2 linked regions of the Alligator mississippiensis genome follow. The protein of the gene in region 1 interacts with the protein of each later gene in a pairwise test. Links are inferred from orthologs where the notes say so. Each region holds a gene or a part of one and is shown on either strand. Other genes may lie near its edges. The genes, in order: RBM41 and RALYL.

Region 1 (7,315 bases):
GGTAGACCATAATTCAAAGCTGGTTATAGTTTGTGATGGGAGTGGAGTTGTCTTTGCTTGAAAATAAAACTGCATCTATCCAATTATGGAGCTGTTATAGCTGCTTATACTGAAGAGGGCTTTGATGTTAGTTTAGTAAAACTGTAATTAAAAAACCCACAACTGGTTTAAAATGGGTGGCTCAACCTGCACCCCATGGGCCAGGTCCAGCCCCTGGTCATCCGGCCTACAGGGCTCCCCATAGGTCCAAAAATTTGGCAGCGGGGCAGCAGTATCATTGCTCCCCTGCTGCCAGATTCTGCCCTCTTAGGGAGTCCTGCAGACCAGACATCTAGCACATGTGATCATGCTTGGGCACGCAGGCTAGTGTGGGGCCCTGTGCTGGTGTGCAGGGGCAATGCGGGGACCAATCCCAGCATGCAGACTGGCCCTGCACCACTCATCAGCCTGCAGGGCCAAAAGACTGAGCACCACTCATTTAAATATACAGCAAATCCCCTCTCCTTCCCCCCCCCCCCATCCCCCGTTTCTGAACCCTATCTTGGACACTCTGATGCATACCCGTGCTTTCCAGAGCTGTATCTTGGGACGTTCATTTCTAGGTTGATCACCTATGTGTCTTTGCCCACAGCCCTGCTCCAGAGGAAGGTGGAGGAGGTGACAAAAGTATGTGAAAGTCGCCGCAAGGAGCAGGAACGCAGTTTTCGGATCACTTTTGATTGAGCGATTCAAGAAAACTTCCCGCTGGAATATTCATCTGATAATCATTATGTAAAACTTGTGGGGGTTGGGGGGTCAGAGTGAATATTATGATACCATCTTGTTTTATTACAATAAAGTACTTTCCATTCCAAAGCTCCAGTAGTTCATAGTATCTATCTTAATGGATATCACATTGAAATTTGCAGTGTCTACGCTCCAGTTCTATGTTCTTTGTACATACAGCCTGTGCATCTACTCTGTGTTTGCTGTTGTCAACAATTTTAAATCTTGTGAAGTCAAGTGACCGACCTTTTATATACTTATGTCAAATATCCCCCATTATACTCGATTGAAAAGAGTGCTGCGTTATCATCTTCCTGTAGGAACTATTCCAAAATGTGAGACAAAGGTAGGTGTGCTAATAACCCAGTGTGTTCCTAAACTGGATATGCCATTCCTGGGGATTACCTTGATGTGTGTGTTATGGTATTGGCTTCATATGCTTTTACCTCTGAAACGCGATGCCAAAAATGGGGTAAAATAGCACTGTCGAAATGGTCATAACTAGTTATATCAGGGGCAGACAATTATTTCGGGTGGAGGGCCACTTGTTGAGTTTTGGTGGGGTGTGGAGCACCGCATGGGTAGCCCCACCCCTTCAGTTGCCCCAGCCCCTGGTCGCCATCTTGGGACCAGACATCCTGAACCCTGACCTTTGCCACTGGAAGTCCCTCCCCCTGCACAACTTACCAGGTAGCAAGGGGTTGTGACCCCTCTAACATCCTGCCCCAGCAGTGGGGTTTCAGGGGCATCAGCTCCCCCAGAACTTTCCCCCTACCCGTTCCAGCTGGTTCTAAAGGGAGGAGGTTCCACCACCACTTCTGCTGGCCAGTGCTGACCCAGTCAGGCTTGCTCCATCCCCAGCAGCTGGCTTCAGCTGCATGCTGCTCCGGATGAGACGGACCTGGCCAGGTCTGTGTCTCGGCCAGCCAGAGCTGACTCGAGGTGATTTAGAAATTGCTCGTTTGTCAGGGTGGGCTGGTGAATGGAGAGGCAGACAAGGTTTAATGGTTGTAAAAACTTTACTTACGTCGCGGGTGGTGGCGACGGAAACGGTCCGGTCGTCTGAACAACAATGTAAGTTGTTCCAGCTGGCGAGGCCAAAGCCAGCAAATCCGTCCGTAACTTAAGCCAGCGGGAAAAGTGTACGTCTGGGATTGCGCTCGGCAACGGGAAGAAGGATCAATAGGTGATCAGTCTATCGACCAGCTAGCCACAAGTCAGATCTCTTTAGAGGCGCTCTGCAGTGTGCTTAAAGTTCTTCAACTTGGGCGGAAGTTGCGCGAATTTTTAAACGGCCAGCAAGCCAATTACCAGCCACCACGTGTGAATAATTTAGCACTAGCCAATAGCGGGACACAGATTTGCATTCGAATAGCGGGAACTCTTTGCACCGTGCACTTCTGTGCTGCAAAGGGAAAATGCAGCCTGCAAAGACGGCTGCAAATTGGCGGGAACTCTCTCCTGCACGCGGGTTCTTTATGCAGCAAAAACCCTCGCTGTGCAAGAGGCTCTCATGTGACAAGAAAATTCCATAGTGTCGAGGCACCAAAATCACTGGGTTGTGACAGTCTGCACCAGCCAGGAAAGACAGCATGTAGCTGAAGTCAGCTTCCCACGTGCTGCTGTGGTTGAGAGGAGCCCGGCTGCGTCTGCACCGGCCAGTAGAAGCTGTGACAGAGCCATGTACCACTTGGGACGGGATGAGCCGAGGTGGAGGAGCAGGGGCTCAGCTGCACTTTCCCCCTGCCTGCACCGGTCAGTCCTGAGTGGCACATGGCTCCACCACCACTTCTGCTGGGCTCCTTCCATCCCCAGCAGCATGTGGGAAGCCGGCTTCAGCTGCATGCTGCTCTGGGCTTCAGAACTCCACTTCATCAACCTCCTGGACACTAAAAAGCATGGACTAAATATAGATATTGGATTTATGATGCATTATAACCTGCCTGACAGCTGACTTCCCAGGTACTTCACTATTCATCCCCCTTCTCTTCGCGCCCCCCTCCCCCCCCCCCCCCCCCCCCGCCTGTGTCTCACCCATTGACTCCTCAATCTCCATTTTCACTGACTGCCTGTCTTATATGCATACCAGCCCAGCCTCTGGCTTTTTGACTTTTCATTCCAGCCAGGAAGAGCACACACCAAATGCAGAAACTTCCTTAGCCTGAAGAAGGGTTTTTGAACCCAAAAGCTTGCTTAAAAATTGTTCTCCAACTATTTAAGTTGGTCTAATAAAAGATATCGGATTTACCCAAAGCACCTTGTCTGCCTGTGTCTCTAGACCAACACAGCTACAACCTACACCCCTTTAAACTAATTATACAGATAGTGAAACTTGATCCTAATTTATATGGTAACTTTCTTACACTGAAGATGTATGAGACTTGCATCAAGACACAAATGCCATTTTCTTGCATAGTGGGTCCTGGCCTAAGGTAGATACCTTAGTTTTGAAAGGCTGGATGAAGGAAAAAATGTTGCTTGTAGTGAGTAACTGAGTAGCAGCAGCTAGGGAGTTGAGCCTGCTTACTTGTGGATGGTGCGGAGGCTTTATTTTCAGCGTCTGGTGGCAAGGAGCAGAAACTGCTCTTTTTTTGCATAGTGTGGACTCCAGCTTCCTGCAGCTGGTTTTTATGCATGAAACTGTGGTAAACAGCAATAAGGCTTCACAGGGAGAAACAGCTTAGCTTCATTGGGCTGGGAAAACTCAGACTCCTACAGCTGAGGCAACATCTAACTGTCAGCATTTACTTTACAACATCAAACATACTGAATGCATTTTGTTCCTCATCCATGCTTAGGGTATCTCTGTTATCTCTGTTGCACGTGGGAGCACTGCCATAAAGCACTTGCATGCTCATATTCTGTAAGTGCATATTCTGTCTTGGAACAGCCCTGAAACAACTACCTCTGCCAGCTAAGAGGAGAGCATACCTCCAGTGTTGCTCAATGCTAAGGCAGCTACGTTGCTTCACTTAGGCACTAAGTTGCAGTAAGGTGGTAGGTGGACAAAGGGACGACTGTCATCTCACCAACACTTTTGGTAAGGCACCTGCACCCCAGGGCAGAGCTGGCTTGGGTTCTTAGTCAGCTGCTAAGCAGATGGACAGATGACAATGGGAACGGCGGCTGGCTCCAAACCTGTTACATGACTGCTCTTTTCAAACCGGGCTTGTGGGGGAGGGTGGGATTTAAATCATGACTGAAACGACTTTTCAAGGACAAGGGAGGGCCGAGCCCCCGCGAGCTTGAAAGGGATGCGGGGCTTGGTCCCGAGGCAGCGTCGGCTCGCCGGCAGATGGAGCCGAGCCAGCGAGCGCGGCCCCGCAGCGCCGCCCCAGCTGCGTGCGCGCAAACCGCGCGGGCGGGGCGGGGCGGGGCGGGGCGGGGCGGGGCCCGCCTCCCCACCGGCTGCCCCAGGCGCTTTGCTGCCGTAGCGCTCGGCGCTTGCCGCCATTAGGCAGCGCGGCGGGGCGGGCTCCGCGCTACTGCCGGCGGCCATGCGGAGGTGAGCACGGCCCCTCGCTCCCGGGCTTTGGGGCGCGGAGAAGGGCTGCTGCAGGGGTAGGGCACGGGGGAGAGGCGGGGCCCGCCGTGGCGCGGGGTCGAAGCTTACTCTCCAGCGGCCTGGCCCTGACCTGCCGTCTCCTCGACCTGTGCGCGGGCTGGTGGAGCCACCCCAGGCCCAGCGCTCGCTCCGCGTGGTGCCTGCCCCAGCCGGGCCGTGACACCTATCCCATGGATAGGTGTTTGGGTAGGGACCAGCCTGCCTCGGGCAGCGGCTGGACTAGGTCCCTCCAGCCCCACGTCTCTGGGAGTCCGTGATGCCCACTCTGGCTGGGCCGGGCCAGTGTGAGGGGCTGGGGTGGCACCATGTGCCACGTGTGGGTCTGCTCCAGAGCCAGGGCAGCACAGCAGGCCAGAGAATGGGGCTCCACAGGCCAGATTTGGAGGACTGGTTATATATTTGACAGCCCTGCCCTAGCAGAGTTGCTCCGGAGTGAGTGTGGGCTGTGTTGGCAAGGGGGTTGGTTGGCCAGGGAGGGAGACGCAGACCAGGCCCAACATTCACCTCCTGAGCTGTCTGGTCCCTGTCTTTGGCTGTCCTGTCAGATGCTGCTGCCCCAAGTCATGAGCTATTTTGAAATGCTGCTGATGTGGTGATAAGGACTTCCCAGTCTCTCCTGTCTGCAGGCTTTCCAGGAAGAGTTTTTAGCAGTTTTTCAGTACCAAGGTTCAGGCTTGTTGTTACTGATGAAGCCACTGAAAAGATTTTTTTTAAATCTCCATGTTAACACAAAGCAGCTTGGTCTAAGTGGGCTCCTCTTGCCTCTATAGTTAAACAGAATCAAAGCTTTCATTTAGGATCCAAGGACAAACTTTCCAGGTCTGGTTGTGAAGAAAGCTGTCCCCTGTTACAGAGCTGTTCACCTATATGTTTCATAGATTCATAGATGTTAGGGTCGGAAGGGACCTCAATAGATCATCAAGTCTGACCCCCTGCATAGGCAGGAAAGAGTGCTGGGTTCAGATAACTCCAGCCAGATGCCTATCTAACCTCCTCTTGAAGACCCCCAGGGTAGGGGAGAGCACCACCTCCCTTGGGAGCCCGTTCCAGATTTTGGCCACTCTACTGTGAAGAAGTTCCTCCTAATGTCCAGTCTAAATCCGCTCTCTGCTAGCTTGTGGCCATTATTTCTTGTTACCCCCGGGGGCGCCTTGGTGAGTAGAGCCTCACCAATTCCCTTTTGCGCCCCCATGAGTAATTTATAGGCAGCCACAAGGTCACCTCTCCACCTTCTCTTGCTGAGGATGAAGAGGTCCAGGTGCCCTAGTCTCCTCGTAGGGCTTGGCCTGCAAGCCCTTAACCGTACGAGTGGCCCTTCTCTGGACCCTCTCCAAGTTATCCACATCCCTCTTGAAGTGTGGCACCCAAAACTGGATGCAGTATTCCAACTGTGGTCTGACCAGCGCCCGATAGAGGGGAAGTATCACCTCCTTGGCTGTGTGACTGAGTTAAGAGCATAGGAAGTTCCATATCAGGTCAAAGCAGAGGCACATCTAGCCCAGTATTTATCTTGCAGTAGCAGAGTGGATGCCAAGTAGAAGAGTATTTATGCAGGGCTCCTCCAGAGTGATCCATCCCCTGCCCTTCCTGGGCCTCTGAATGCTGGAAACTAGGGCAGGAAGTCTTCCTTTTGAAGTTGCATGCCCAAACAGCCATGTTTGATTCCCACTGATGGACAGCCTGAACCAGTTTTGAGCACAGTGAGAGCTAACTCATTCGTCATAACAAAGTATGACTTGATAATGATTTAGAAAGCCAGCATTGCTAATTATTTTTGCTCTTCCCCATGTTAACTGAATCATCCAGTGCCTCCTACATTATAGGTGGAGTTTGAGACTAACGTCAGATGTTCCTTCCTAGTCCCATTCTTACCTCTTTCTGTGAACACCTAGAATTGAAGGATCACAAATAGTAAATGCTAATGTCCTTCTTTACTCTGTAGAGAGTAACCTACATGGAACAAGACGTGCCTTCGAAAGGCAGAAAAGAACATGGCTTTACGTTCTGTTTCTTTTTACATGAAGTCACTGGAAGCTAAGCAGGATCCATTTCTTAAAATAGGTCTTCTGGAAATAAGAATAAAAGCTTCCATTTGAATTAAAAATATACTCTTGGGATATCTTTTTTTTTTTTTTTTTTTTTTGGAGAAATAGTCTCAACTCTCTGCAACGTTATGCTTGGTATTAGTGGGAGCTCCATGGTTCAGGTTAGTCTTAGTTTCATCATGTTCTTCGGAGCCCATCTGCAGTGTCAGGTTGTCTTCTTAATGTCCTAATAAAGGATGGGGCAATCAGTGTGCTACCAAGAGTTCACTGTGGTGTATTAGGGAGTGAAGCCCCTTTTGTATTCTACTGACCACCTGTGCATTGGTTGTGATTCCCCAGGGTCAACAGCTGTCTGTCTGCTGATGATGTCCTCCTGGAGGATTTGGAGACAGAAGGAGAAAGGCAGCTGAAGAGCCTCCTTCACCATCAGCTTGACACCACTGTCTCCATTGAACAGTGAGTATTGAACCAGCTGGCAAAATACAAAAGAAGACAGAGGACATAGGCTACTGCTGCTGGCACAAGTGTACCAGTAAATCGAGGATGCTCAGATTACAAAGGATGGCAGGAAAGCATCACACTAATGGTGAGGGCATAGTGGTGCAGCTTAATTTCTAACAGAAATTATTAGGGACTTTTCACAGCAGGAGCTTCTTTTGCAGTGTCTTACTCAGGCAGTGAGCTTGGGAGTGTGGTTGTTGCTCCCAGCATTCTTCATGTGCAAACCCAAGGTGCAGTTAGATTTTTCAGCTGCTGGTGACAGATCAGTGGTGCTCAAAGTTCCAGCCTTGTGGGCAGGATGAATGGTGTGGGGTTGGTATTTGGGGTTGATTTCTGGGTGTAGTCTGGCATGCTGACCTGGCCCCACATGCTGGATCCAGCCCAGCATGCTGGTCTGACCATATGCATGAGATTTGCTCTGGAGTGAACCCTGGCTCTC
Region 2 (7,137 bases), on another chromosome or scaffold:
AGTTACTTTTAAGGCAGCTTTTGAATTCACTTCAATGAGGTTTTATTGCTAGATAGCAGGAGCATATGAAAAATTAAAAAATAGCCACTAGGCACATCATTTGCATGCAATGAGTTGAATTTAAACATCTATGCCTTGGCTGTGATTTTAGTTAGGCCCCCGTCCCTTCTCTTTCAATTTAATTCATGCATTGCTGGTGACAAGCATGGTTCCTTTTGTTGAGTATTGTGCACACTTCCACATACCAGATCGTAAAATCTATGCATTAGATGCTAATCTCGCTCACTTAAGCTCTTCACTCATCTTTCAGTAGCATTCTGAAGTCTGTAGGGCCAAGACCTCTTAGAAGGGCCAGAAGCAGTTCCTATTAGGATACATCCCATGTGTTACTCAGTCCTTCTTAACCTACCCTGGACATTGTGTTCTTGCCAGACCACACACAGGATTTACCTCCAACAATTTAGTTCTCATAATCAGAGTATGAGCAGAAAATCACCATTCTGGGCACCTTTTGATGAATCACCTGTCCTCTTCCCTGACTTTTACCTACACTCTGTATGATCAAGTCTTTATAGACTTGAGAGTTCATTTTCTCAATATTTATGATCATGCCTAGACTGAGAAGTTAAGTCTTATGATTTTGGAGCTTTTTTCTCACATAGAATGCAATACAGCATTGTGCATATATACCTTTAAGTCAAACTGAACAATGCAGTTTCAGTAAGTGTTTAAGTATGGATTTGCACAATGATATTTTGGCTGTTACACTGTATCAAATAAATATCGTACTTTAAAAGTGAAAACATGCACAAATACATATTTACCTGATACAAAAACAACTGCAATCCAATTTATAAATAATATCTACTGCAACTCATAAAATATGTATTCCAAATACTATATCTATCCAGGTTCCTGATGGGATGCAGATCCATCACTCAGAATTTAGGTGATTTCTTGGACAGTGGTACATGCTCTTACATTAAATAATTTATTTTATTTTTATTTTTCAGAAAGAAACACATGCACAAACTTATAAAAACATAATAAGCAGCGATGGCAATAGAACAACAACAAAAGGAAATTCTAATTTAGGCCTTGATCCTACAAATAGGAATGTTAGTGGGACCTACTTATTTGCTTTCAAGCTGAATACTGCTAAATCTATAGGACTGGGCTTAACTCCTTAGCTCATTGGACGATATTTCTCCGTGCAGTGCTTACTTAATCCTTACAGGGACCGAATGTAAGAAAATCAAGAAAATATATTTTATACATGCTGAATTTCCAGATTATAGCACAACTATGACAATGTTGACTGAGTTTGTCACTATGTAAATCACTGTTGTTTGATGTGTTAGTTACATTATAAACCATTTTTATTTCCTAGGGGTTTTCAATATCCCTAAGGATCCCTTAATATTTCTCCATTTATAGCTCCCTCAGAGTTCTGAGATCTACAGTCCCAGTGCTGAAAGCCAAACTCAGTCATAAAAGAGCAGCTGGGAGCCGTATGAAAAGCCAGAACAAATTTAAAACCAAAAATAAAGAGAAAGAAACCCAAAGAAGCATGTTTTATTTTATATTGTTAAACTGTAGCCATTATTCTTTCTTATGGAGAGCTACAATTTTAAAACAAGTTGAGAACAAAAAAGAAACAGAAAAGGAGAGTTTTAGTTTTTATCCACCAAAACACTAGTGTAGAGGTATAGGACTGGAAGGACAGAAAATTTGTGGGGAAAATGGACTTAACATATGATAAGGAAGGGCTGAGTTAGGAGAGGAAGATGCAGAGATGATGCTGTCAATCTTGAATTCAGAAAATCATCATTGTACTGATCAAGGCAGTAATTTTCTTTTTGAGTAGTAATCTTATTGTTCTTTTGCATCCTGATTGGCTATGTGGATGTTTTCCCATAAAATAACTGGTGTTTAAATTGAACCCACACAGAATAATATGGCAATGGAAAAAGTAGAACAGAATGAGCATAGTGGAACATTGTTTCTACTATTGCTTATGTGTCAGGGGAAAATAGTTGATCTAAAAAAATTGACTAAAATGAAGAAATAAAAAGTTTGGGAAAATCAGAAGGGTTGGAAAGAAGATAACTGAACAAAAGAGAATACAGGAACCACTTTCTCATTTTGGCCTCCAGTCTGACTTGGATATTTCTTCTGCACTTATTCCTATCACTGGTATCCTCTATTCTAACTTACAGTTCTTTCCTTTCCTGACATCTGAATTCTGAGATGCGAACGAAGGAAAACACTGGTATAAGAGTTGTCTGGCTTGCAGAGTCCTTTTCAATGTATTGTTTGTGGAGGTACTTATAGCCCTGGACACATTGATTCCACAGAGATATCTTTCCCCACAAGCCTCCCCTGCTGCAGGCAATACCCACTTGCCTACATGAACCAAATACTCAGCGAGATTTGTTAGTTTTTGACATGGCATTTTGTTTTTCCATGAAACCAAAATTATTTTGGTCCATTCATTTAGAATCCCAAGGGGCACATCTACACATTCATTAATGCCCCGCAATTACAGTGCATTAAGTTTAGTACCTGTAATGCCAGATACTAACTTATGGTGCTGCAATCAGCACTACTGCACATTAGCAGAAACGGTCTTGTTGTGACATTAATGCACAGTAGACTAAAATTACTGCACATTAGCGCATTGGCACAGGTTTTGCCTGCCATGCTAATGTGCAGTAGATTTAGTCTACTGCACTCGACCCACCTCGTGTAGATGCTCCCTTAACATGGAGAATCTGCAGCGAGACTCACTGAAAAGTTACAGAGGCTTCACACTACCGTGCTGAAATGGTCGCATCCTTCACTAGGCTACCAGTTAGAGACTGGAAAGCTGCTCCTCCTCCCAGCAGCGAGCAACTGCAGGGTTTGCGGATGAAGAGGGAACGAGGAAGGCTGAGCTGGAACAGAGATGATGAAAGAACGACCCTAGGCTTGCCTTTGGGCTGTGCTTTTCTGGGTTGTTTCTTGTGCAGGGTGCAACAGGGCAGTCCAGCCCCCAAGCCTAAGTCGTCCTTGGTCGATGCGGGGGCGGATCCTGTACGTGCTCTTTCACAGGAGGGGGCACCCGCATGAAGTGACCAGCTCCTCTCCCCGGAGTTAACTCGGGGGACCCGGAGGGTGAAGCGCCGCTGCTTTTCTGCCGGGAACTTCCTTCCTGACAGCAGCAGACCCACCTGTCCCCGGGGGGCAGGGCAGGGCAGTGCAGGGGCGCAGGGCACCCGAGCAGAGTAGGCGGAGAAAGGGTCCGGCGCCGGGGTGTTTCTCGCGGAGCCCAGCCCCGGCTCGCGAGCGCCCCTGGCGCCGGGGCAGCGGAGGTAGGGGGAGCGCCAGGGACCAGAGCTCTGCAGCCGGCCCCGCGGGACGGGCACAGCCCCAGCCCCGCACCTCTGCCTGCCCGCGGCGCCGGGGGAGGGAAGCCGCAGGTGCCAGGTGCACCGGGCAGGCTCCAGGCGAGGGCAGCGGGGAGGGGGGACTTCGAGATGCGGAGGGAGCAAGTTGTGGCCCCAGCGTGCGACACACACACCCCAGGCGTCACACACACGCGCGCGCATCTCACACACACACACACACACACACACACACACGTGGGGGTGGGTTGGGGGGGCTCCGGCGCTCCCCCGACTGCAGCCGCCGCCAGCTGCCCTGTCCCCTGCCTGCCTCGTGCGTGTGCGTGTGTGTATGTGAGTGTGCGTGTGTGTGTCACGCAGCGCGCGGAGCCCGTGCGAGAGGCACCTGCTCCTGTCTGGCTGCCGCCGCCTCCAGCCTCCGCCGCTCGCTGCGGGCTCCAGTCTCCGCCCCGCCGCCGCCGCCGCTGCCGCCGCCGCCGCGCGAGTGAGTCGGGCTCCTCCGGTGGGGTTCACCCCTTCCCCCCCTGCCTGCGAGTCAGCCTGGCTGCCGCGCGTCACGTGCCCGCCGCCTGAGGCAGCGACCGGAGCGAGGGGAGGGGAAAAAATAGAAAGAGGAGGAAAAAAAAAGAAAGAAAAAAAAAAAGAAAAAGCGCCTCATTCCTTCCTCCACCGCCATACTGTATTTTGTAGTAACTCATTTTTATTCCTCCCTTTTACTCCCGCTCGGTGAGTACCTTTCCGCCGGCATTCTTGTCCTCCCTTTTTTCCTTTTTTTTTATTTTTTTTTTTGTCCCGGGTTTTTTTTTCTTCCTTTTTTATTTTTGCTTCTTTTTTTTTCTTCTTCTTCTTCTTCTTCCTCTTTGATTATTGTTTCCAGGGATTTGATCCTTTTTTTGTTTTTCCTGAGGGCAAGTTTTTTGGTTTTTGTTTTTTTTTCCCTAGCATGCGATGGGGGACCAAACTGTGAGCAGACGGTGCTGCCGGGGCTGGGAGTCGGCGGGGATGGCAGGGGCCTGATCCTGGCCGGGAGGACGAGCCCGATAGCGATAAGCGAGACGACTCGCCAGTCCAGAGACGGGCTCTGTCTCTAGCCAGACCTTTCTCATCTCTCTCTCTCTCTTTCTCTCTCTGTCTGTATGCAACTGGTTTTGTGGTGCACAGTATAACCTAGAAAGCATTGCTTTTTTTTCAAACAAAAAAAGAGCAAAAACAAAAGGCATATGTCTTATAACTCCCCTTTTTATTTTTTTGCAGAGGATTTTTTTTTTTTTTAATCCCGGATGGGGTTTGAAATTTTGGTGTTGTTTTTCATCTTCTTGGGGTTTTACTAATATTGTTTGGTGTGTTGCTTTTTTTTTTTTCTTCGGTGGGGAATTGCAAGTGCGTTTTACAAGCCGTGTTTACCAAGAGTTTGTGATCTTGCAAAAAAAAAAAAAATTCAAACCGGGTGCAAGATGCTCGTTTTGTTGCTTTTTGCTGTGGTTTCCCCCTTTTGCCCCTCGGTGCAGTCAGCAACGTTTTTTCCCCCTTCCTTCTTCTTCTGCTTTTGATGCCCGTTTATAACGTGAAACTTTTCTTGCAGCTCGTGGCAGTTGATCCTTTTTAAATACTTTTTTTTCCTCCTCCTTAAAACCAACCCAAAGAGAGAGAGAAAAAAAAAAAAATCCAAGCCAATGATGGTTTACTTTTGCACATTTGACTTCTTCATTCTTTTACCTGCGTAATCTTATAATGCTTGTGATTGCCATGATGATGATGCTGGTGCTAGATAGATACATATATACCAATAAATACATTTTCAAATGGTGGCAGTGGAAGGTTTTCCTGGAGAATGAAGTGCGGTTTGGTTTCCTTGTCAACGGAAGATGAAGTGAACAACTGAGCATCTCCCCAGTGCAGGTACATCTCCTTGGAGGCGTTTCCACTCTTTGTAAATTATATTACGAGATTTTTTTTGTAATATATATATATCAATCTCTCCGGATTCGCAGCTAAAGGTATTCCCGCAGTAGAAGGAAGATGAAACTAAATCCCTGTCTGCCGCCTGATCGCGTGGATGCTTGCAAAATATTGCACTGATTGAGCTCAGGTCGGTTGAAGCTGCGAGTGGTGGTTTCTCTACTGTACTGTGTAGCAGGGTGGCTGGGGGGGCCACGACCCGCAATGAAACCTGGTGGTGAGAGGGGACACTTCGAGGGCTTAAAAATAAGAGGAGTGGATTGCGAGTAGGAAATATGATGTGTGTGGGGGTGTAGAAAATGCCCACTACAAAGTCTTAGGTGGCTGGGAGAGAAGCAGCAGAACAGGAGCCCTGCGAGAGGCTGGCTCATTGCCAGACATACTCCATATCCTGAAGGAGATTTCCAACTTCTGTTCCTCCTATTCAGGAATGATCAAGGCAGCAGATCGGCTCTTGTCAGGCTTGGCTCATTGGGATGGAGATTAATTAGGAGCCGATCTTTGTTTTCAGGTGTTTCGTTTTGTTTGGATGATTATTAATGTTACTTGCCTGCCAGGGATGGGAAACGGTGACTTCGCGTGACGGTCACTGAGAGTTCAGGATTGGGGAAGAAACTGTTACTTCCTATTAAGAGTATGTAACTGTTTTGCAGTGCCTAAGACGCTCCCTGATTTAGAGGCAGGGTATTGGATCACTAAAATACGATTTGGAGAGATTTTTCCAAGTGAGAGGTGTGGTGATTTCCTTCTTCCCTTCCAAGGAAGTGATTCGTTAAAGTTGAAGTACTGATTGTTTCAATCTGCAGTGTTCTCTGTGTTTACTTTTATGCTGATGGGACTGTTTAAAGCATTTGTGTGTAGACAATTTTCAGAGATTTATAACACCCTTCTAAAAATATACTCTGCATTCAGCCATAACAAGGAAATTATCTTCTGAGAAACAGTTTACCTCCCTCCCTCCCCAGATGTAAGCAAACCTTTTGTCAGTTTTGAATTGATGGGAATACAGGGGCATTTGGAAGCTAAAGGCTTCAGATACTGTATTCTTCTAACTACTTTGCTCTTTGAAATTGGGAAGTTTGTATACCAAGTGTGATGCACAGTCATTTTGCTGAGTATGTGGAGCAACAAAATCCACTGACCTCGGCTATCTCTGTAGAAATGTAGTGATTATACAGGGATGGTATCCTTTTTCCACAAAAGTGTAATAAACATACTTAGTAAAAAGATGTACTTTGCATGCATGGCATCTGCATTGACATGATGGACTGACTACCTTTGACAATATATTGAGCTAATAATCCATGTTTCAAGAAGCCACTATCTAGATATTTATCTGATAGATGATGATGATTTCTTTGGAGTACTTACAATCTGTTGGTGCAATAATCACATTTAAGAAGTTTCAGACTGCTTATATTTTCATAATGGAGATGGAGAGAAATACATGAATATAAATAGTGATCAGAATGCTATCTTCTGTTGCTTCCTTTTCTTTTTAAATTACAGGGGTTTTTTTCTTGAAACTGAGGAGAGTGGACAGTTAGCCAGACATTTTTAGTATTGTGTAGATGTTTAAACAAATACATTAGGCAAGCAGTTTCCAGCTGACTTCCCTTTGGTCCATGGCTTGTCTTGCCTTTTTTCAATGTTGCAGGTGTGTTGTATGAGTAATTTGGATAGTAGATAGTTGCTGACTCTAAGCCAAATCTTGCTCACTTTATCTTGGCTTGAAGTCCAAGATAATAAGTGTTAGACTTGCACTACTCTTGGGCACCTTTTTATACGTTCA

The links.
Region 2: the proteins of RBM41 (region 1) and RALYL interact in binary tests that used the Homo sapiens proteins (3 or more experiments, as listed by UniProt). The two-hybrid records come from large-scale screens. The link is inferred for Alligator mississippiensis from reciprocal best matches to the Homo sapiens genes RBM41 and RALYL.

What each region holds. Positions count from the first base shown.
Region 1 is NC_081831.1:41,689,473-41,696,787, reverse strand, and holds the start of RBM41 (RNA-binding protein 41), read left to right. Parts: upstream 1-4,163; 5' UTR 4,164-4,262; coding exon 4,263-4,270; intron 4,271-6,714; coding exon 6,715-6,831; intron 6,832-7,315. Other genes in the region: NUP62CL (nucleoporin-62 C-terminal-like protein), read left to right, coding at 632-723. UniProt on the Homo sapiens protein: May bind RNA.
Region 2 is NC_081826.1:51,195,202-51,202,338, reverse strand, and holds the start of RALYL (RNA-binding Raly-like protein), read left to right. Parts: upstream 1-3,886; 5' UTR 3,887-4,112; exon of another isoform or gene 4,113-5,198; 5' UTR 5,199-5,285; intron 5,286-7,137.